2 linked regions of the Tribolium castaneum genome follow. The protein of the gene in region 1 purifies or fractionates together with the protein of each later gene. This does not show direct contact. Links are inferred from orthologs where the notes say so. Each region holds a gene or a part of one and is shown on either strand. Other genes may lie near its edges.

Region 1 (3,143 bases):
GAGGGGCAGTACACGTGCAGGGCATCTAATCAGTTCGGAGTGGACGAATCGAAGGGACGCTTGATCGTTTTACGTAAGTTTAGTACAGTAGTACGGCTGATGGCAATGATGGTTTAGGGGGCCCGCGTTTGATTGAAAGCTTGACTCCGAAAATTGTGACGACGGTCGGCCGTTACTTCGACTTACGATGTCTCGCCGAGACTGAGGAAATGTTAGACATTGCGTACGTTTGGAGCCATAATGGCATTAAAATCCGCGACATCGACATCAAAAACATGAATTATCGTTTGGTGAGTAGCTGTAACCTGTGTATTGCGTCCTCAATTGCGGAATTTAGCGAATCGATGGTGGGTTTCTTTCCGTGACAAATGCCACGTTTACCGACGCTGGGGAATACGAGTGTACTATAAAATCAACCGTTGGTAAAATCTCATCTCGGTCGGTGGTCGTGGTCGAGGGGCCTCCTGGTCCGCCAGGTGGCGTCACCGTGTCCATTCAGAAGAGCTCGTTCACGCTGCAATGGACCGATGGTGCCACTCACGGCTCCCAAATCCGGGGTTACACCGTCAGTGGTCGCACGAACTGGAACCAGACCTGGGTCAACATTAGTTACATTGTTGATGTGCGGGAGATTGACAGATACACCGGCCAGAAGGAGAGTCTGATTGACACTGCCTTGACTCCTTGGTCCACTTACGAGTTTCGCATAGCCGCTTGGAACTCCTGGGGGATGGGGCCCCCGTCAGCCCCCAGCCCCCGGCATTCGACGCCGCCGGACCGTCCCTACATCGCCCCATATAACATTGGCGGTGGAGGCGGCAAGATTGGCGATTTGACCATCACGTGGTCGCCACTCAAGCCAGACGAGCAGAACGGTCCTGGCATTTACTACAGGATATTCTGGAAGCGGAAGGACCAAGAAGTCGAATTCCAGACTCAGGAATTGAAGGAGTTCGGGAACACGGGAATGGCGGTAGTGCACATACCGCCACAGTACTACTACACGGAATACATTGTTAAAGTGCAAGCTATTAATCAGATAGGTCCTGGGCCGATCAGTCCAGAACATGTTATATACTCTGCCGAGGACATGCCGCAAGTTGCGCCACAACTGGTCGTTGCTAGATCGTTCAACTCGACGGCGCTTAATGTCAGTTGGGTACCAATTGACCAGACGAGGGAGAAAGTCAGAGGCAAACTCATCGGACATCGTGTAAGTAAACCAAAATCGCCGAGATTTGTTCCATAGTTAGCGCAAATTATAGATCAAGTACTGGAAGAAGGGCACCAAGGAGGAGGAAAGTGTCTATTATTTGTCGCGTACGACACGGCCGTGGGCCCTTATCGTCGGTTTGCAACCCGACACGTACTACTTCGTCAAAGTTATGGCCTACAACTCGGCCGGTGAAGGCCCCGAGAGTGAACGTTTCATCGGTAAATATTTCCCCCCTCTTCCGTGATTTTTTGCTAATTGTTTGTGTAGAACGTACGTTCCGAAAGGCGCCACAAAAACCACCGTCGTCGGTTCATGTCTATGGCATCAATCCATCGACGGTCAAAGTGGTGTGGCGGTACGTCCAACCATCGTTGGAGGAAGAGCCGCTCAAAGGCTACAAGGTACGGTGTATGTTGTTTTGCTTGTCTGACTCAGCGATTTGCAGATTCGTGTATGGGAATTCGATCAAGACATAAGCACCGCGAATGACACTATAAAACCATTCGGTGGCAAATTAGAAGCCTACGTTAATAACCTACAGCCTGGCAAAACCTACAGAATGCGTGTGCTCGCATACTCGAACGGCGGCGACGGCCGCATGAGCTCCCCCGAAGTCAAGTTCCGAATGGGTGGGTTTAGCAATAGTAATAATTGATTCGTTCACTTGGACGGCTTCGCTTAGTCTTGCACGCTTATGTGATTGTTTTGCAGGTCCACTTGCATATTACCGAAGTGCTTGTGAGGATTTAAAACCATTTACAATAACAATCGTCATCGCATGTCTGCTTCATTATCTACTAACAACATGAGTCCAGTTTTTGTTATGTTTTATTTTGTTTACTTCGTCAAAAGGCCATCATTTTTATATCATTCCGACGTTTGAGGCTTCTGAACTTGTGCCTTAACAGGATTGCATTATGTAAAACGTACCTGTATCAAATGTAATACTTTAGCAATATTTTTTCTAATGACGTGTTCAAATTTTCTGTGCTTTTACATCATAAATCATAAATCCGTCCAACACAAGGTTGTAGTTTGTTTTTATCTTTATTATATAATAGAAATATACAGAGTATCGGTGTAATTTTTTAAATAAATTTTTTGTAAAACATTGTGGTTTTAATCGGAAATCCTGACACTACCTCTAATAAATGTGTGGAGCTGTCCATGCATCCTCCCCAACTGGCTCGCCTGATAGCTGCTAGGTGTCGCCACGCGCACTTTATTGCGGCTAAATTAGGAGCAAATCTTCTCCCCAATAAAATTTGTCGTAAAATCTGAAGGTGAGACAATAGTAAAGTAAAATTTCTGGTTGCAAATGCAGATACGTTGATCTGAAATGAGTCTAGCAAGCATAAGCCCCGTTTATTACTTTCAATTTTGCTTTGAAGGTGAAAGTTCCACCTGTCTTCATTGTCTATTTAGCACTGCAGACAGACAAGGATAAAAGTTGCAAAAACAGGCGTTTGTGTGCAATAAAAAGATAAGAACGTTTTTCCTGAAATCGCGATCGATCGAATTTTCAGAACTGTATTATTTGAGATTCCTAGGAACAATTATATTGTTTTCGTGTTAAACCTTTGTCGTGGGGTTGTGTATGATGTGCACGTGTATTGTGGTTTCTTTTGAAAATATCCACCGGACTGGAATTCAGTAGCGTTATATCTTTATCATTAAAAAGAGGAACGTGTCCATTGCCGAAATTAGTTTTTTCCAATAAGATTAAATCGAGCGTATCGACGATTGGACCTATACGAGTTAATTAAGGTTGCTGAAGGCTATAAATCGTTTTTAAAAGCTCCGCTCAGACTGCTACAAATGAAAGACGTAATAATGGACAGAGCAATTTTTAACAATCATAAAATTTAGACGCTGATTGGGAAAGATATCGAACTGCTGACACTGGATTAGACGGTCTAAACCTAGA
Region 2 (4,273 bases), on another chromosome or scaffold:
CTTCTATATACAATGTATTATTGTCCTTTTTTTTCTGTCATACGAATATATATTTGTACCACAATGGTTTTCATGAAAGTAAACCAAAAGTATAAATTATAGGTCACAAACACAGATTTTCGGGGAAACGATCTTCCAAAGAAAAACGTCGTTTACTACATCAGTGGGTACCTGGCCAGGAAGTGTTTGGGCAAATACACATATACCCAACCTGCAAAGAGTACGCCATAACGATGGATGAACTTGACGCTTCTACACTTTTCACGCACTTCAAAGGACAACACACAGAAAAATCCGGTGGCACAGGTGGGGCAATTCACTTGAAGCGGACCACTCAAATAAATGCGACAACCTGAAATTCGGTTATAATTGTTCTCTTAAAAAGTGTGAATGTAAATACGTAATGATTTGTTTGTGAGCGATTTATTTAAAAAGTTATTGACTTCTAAAAATTGACCAAATATTAAGCATAACGTTTTTGTAAATTGTTTTTCTAATTATACAATATATAACAAAATATTTAAAATGGTGTTTTATACACAAAATTCACTGTTCTTTGTAACTCTAAAATCAAATTTGAAATTTGAAATTTTTTCGTATTGAAAACCGAAAGTGAAGTTTCAAATCCAAATTTTAGTAACATGGACCATTTTTTTAAATTTGTTTTTATTTTAAAAAATAGCTTAAAGTAAATAGAGTTTACACTACAAGTCGCAAAATGGGAGTTTTATTCGTTTAGGAGATATAATACTTAATGTACTCAAAAACGCGTAATTTCTTGCGTAAACCGGCCGATCACGTACATTAAGTACTGTATTTCCTATAGGAATAGAGATCCCATTTTGCGACTAATAATGTAAATCCTAGATTATAAGCAATTTTTTGAAATAAAAAAAAATGAAAAAAAAAATGGTTCAAGTTACTAAAATTCGGATTTGAAACTTCACTTTCGGTTTTCTACACGAAAAAAATTCCAAATTCCAAATCTGATTTCAGAATCAAAAAGCACAGAGAATTTTCTAGATATATAAAGCACTATTTTAATTATTCTGGTATGCATCAGTTTTTTTGAATAAAAGCTTCCAAAAACTGTCTCATATTTCGTCAAATTTTTAGAAGTCAATATCTTCACAAATAAGTGTCATACAAAAAATCATTATGTATTTACAATTATGCTTTCTAGGAGAACAATTATCCCGAATATAACCGAATTTCAAGATACTTTTGGAAAACTTTTAATGCATGTAAAGTCAACACGTATTACTGGTTGCCTGTACTTACCAATTTTGCACATCATCTTAAGAAGTAGATAATGAATAATTTTCAAAACTGATATCAAAAAACATAGAATCAAAAATTCGTATTTTACAAACAAACACACTTGTCAATGTCGCCAATCGGAGCCACCCATTGGTAAAAATTCCCAACTGGGTCAGTTGGCGACCCTGCAATGGGTGTAACTGTCGTTTGTTGACTACAGCTTGAGTCATCAGCATGATTTGATCAAATAATTTCCAATTTTTTCATTTGCAGTGTACACCAAGTGTTCGTTTATTAAACTTCAGTAATTATTTCGTACCAAATCGTGGAATGTAGTAATGGAAATCACGAATTTTCTTTGTTTCTTTTTAACTGTGCTTGGACAAAGTGTGTTTGCAGGTAAATTTCAACTCCAACTGTCATTAAATGTTTATGATATTGATAAGTAGATAAAACATTGATAAGGAATAGATAAGGGAGCTTCAAATATTGGTCATAAAATCATAACCTAAAAAGGTGCAACTTCACCAATATTAGAGCATCGCCAATGTTGGGCCCCTTAATTATTTAATTAAAACAGTTTTCGGTTTATTTTAGTGCATTTTGACCTGGCACCGGTCTCAATTTGCACATCTATTTCCGATAATGTAAATAAGGATGTATATTTCTTCCTTTTTATTGATTTTTCGTACTTAATCACTATTTTTAATCCCGAATCGAACTGACCTCTGTCCTGTTTATGATAAACCGGTTCAAGGAATCAGAAAATTAGAATTTTAAACACTGTTATTTCCGTTTATGAAAATTCGTAACCACTGTTGGCTGTGAAAATAGTCAATTGACAAGTACCCACTCGATTTTTTCATTGCATCCTCAACCCACTTGATTTTTTGATTTTAGACTTCTACAATGAGTACGAATGCAACAACCCGTTACTACAACGTGCCGTTTTAAAGGCCACATCTTCCATGCCGAAAAGGGGTCCCGAAAACGCCGTTTTGTGGGGTAAGTTTTTAATACCTCTCCCATCGTTGAAATATCAATGGAATGGTACTGTAGGTGCCCTTTAACGAGCAAAAATGTCGAATAAAAGTGTCCGTTGGGCTTTCAATTTATCCAAATGGGAGCCCTCCCATTCAGACATGTTGCTAGCAACGTCTTGTGTCCAAGTTGAGGAGAAAGAACGCTTAGCGAGATTTGTGTTCAAAAATGACGTTAAATCGTCGTTAATAGGTCGCTTGTTAATGAGGAAATTCGTTAACGAAGCGACCGGACTCAAATATAACGAAATTAAGTTCGCGCGCGATGAAAAAGGCAAACCGTTTCTTACAAATAACAATTTTCCGATAAATTACAACGTGTCCCATCAGGGGGATTACACGGTGTTGGCTGGGTGTAACAGTGCGGGTTTGTTGGGGGTAGATGTGGTCAAAGTGGAGTTTCCGAGGGGTAAAAGTTTGGGTGAATATTTTAGATTAATGTCGCGGATTTTTTCGGGAACAGAGTGGGAAAAAATTAGGGGGCAAGGTAGCGAGAAAAATCAGCTGGCGATGTTTTGTCGACACTGGTGCTTGAAAGAGAGTTATCTGAAGGCTGTAGGTGTCGGAGTGACGATAAATTTGCAAGATGTTTGTTTTAAAATAAACTCGGATGTTTTGAGGAAAGATCGGGTCGTTGATGATACAGAGGTTTATTTTAGAGGGGAAAAATTAGACTGGGAGTTTCAGGAGATGCTTTTGGATGATCAGCATTGCGTTGCCGTTGCAACGGAGGCGAGCACTGGCGAGAAATTTTTTTTCAAAGAGATTGGTTTTAATGAAGTTATGGAAAACGCTGTTGCTTTGTTAGAACCGGACGAGGATTATTGTAATAGTTTTTTTAAAAAGTGTGACAAAAGTTGATGTAATAAAGTGGGTTTTGGGGGATTTTTGTTTGTTTGTTTTTTTCGTACCATTCCATGATATTTTTACGAGGGTTGTTACGATTGGTACCATTCGTAGTATGGCACAATGTTTTAATTTGATGACCCGATTGCATGCAATTTGATTAGTTTGTCAAGTATTGATTGCATGGAAATTTTGTTTTATTAAGTTCGCATTCATGTTCATGTGGGGGAATCGCTTCTTTTACTTAAAAGTTTAAGAAACGTTTTTTGTTTGTGTTTTATTCTTATTGTTGGTAGTCATAGTTACCAAGTAGTTAGTTATTTTTTGTTGTGTTAAATTAGTCCGATAAATTATAATTTCACTATTAGGGTCGCTAAAACAATAGGGATTTATGAATTTATTCTGCTCTATTGCGGCATTTTACACACATTACCGAAATTTTGTACAAGTTTTTGCGAATAATGTTTGAACATGACACTGTTTAAAATAACCATTACATTTATAACTCAACTCAATGATTACAGATCTTTAAACTGTTATACCAAAAGTATATCAAAGAAAAAAAAATAACGAAAAATCTTCATAAATAATGAATAATAATATGGAAGTTACCTGTTATTAATTTTGGAAGAGGAGAGTTCTAATCTCAAAAACAAGTTTCAGGATCGTTCAAAAATTTCTTATAATTATAATTAATTAACATTACATCATTTTAGGACAAGTGAGCTTAACTGTTTTATGTTAAAAATCTGTAAAAAAATGTTGTTAGCTTCTAAAAATTATTAAATAATAATTAGCAATTCAAATAAACATTATTTAATCATTGTTTATTTTAGAATACATTGGAAATTGTAAAATTTAAAATAAAAGTATTTTTTTAAAACTTCATATTTTGCTATGGCCGAGATAATTTGGGCCGTGTGAATAAACTGAAGTAAATGCTTTTTTGTACTCATAGCTATTTTTAGCTATCTAAAATATTTAAGGTAGCTCCAGCGTGTGGGAAACGAACTTTCCCGCACTGCGGTGTTTTTTACTTTGCAACAATGGTTAGGAACATTTAATAGGTTGGTATCGTTACCCGTTGAGATAGAAACGATAATTTTTTTATGATGAGTGAAAGTTCA

What was found.
Region 2: the proteins of Cont (region 1) and Nrx-IV purify together in Drosophila melanogaster (affinity purification with western blotting; 4 studies listed by BioGRID). This does not show direct contact. The link is inferred for Tribolium castaneum from reciprocal best matches to the Drosophila melanogaster genes Cont and Nrx-IV.

The regions. Positions count from the first base shown.
Region 1 is NC_087403.1:3,391,679-3,394,821, reverse strand, and holds the end of Cont (contactin), read left to right. Parts: coding exon 1-73; intron 74-117; coding exon 118-290; intron 291-337; coding exon 338-1,213; intron 1,214-1,265; coding exon 1,266-1,434; intron 1,435-1,483; coding exon 1,484-1,617; intron 1,618-1,661; coding exon 1,662-1,860; intron 1,861-1,927; coding exon 1,928-2,025; 3' UTR 2,026-2,325; downstream 2,326-3,143. UniProt on the Drosophila melanogaster protein: Required for organization of septate junctions and paracellular barrier functions.
Region 2 is NC_087400.1:9,577,543-9,581,815, reverse strand, and holds the start of Nrx-IV (neurexin-4), read left to right. Parts: upstream 1-1,445; 5' UTR 1,446-1,598; coding exon 1,599-1,659; intron 1,660-2,160; coding exon 2,161-2,265; intron 2,266-2,319; exon of another isoform or gene 2,320-2,339; coding exon of another isoform or gene 2,340-3,161; exon of another isoform or gene 3,162-3,185; intron 3,186-4,273. Other genes in the region: L-aminoadipate-semialdehyde dehydrogenase-phosphopantetheinyl transferase, read left to right, coding at 2,340-3,161. UniProt on the Drosophila melanogaster protein: Seems to play a role in the formation and function of septate junctions.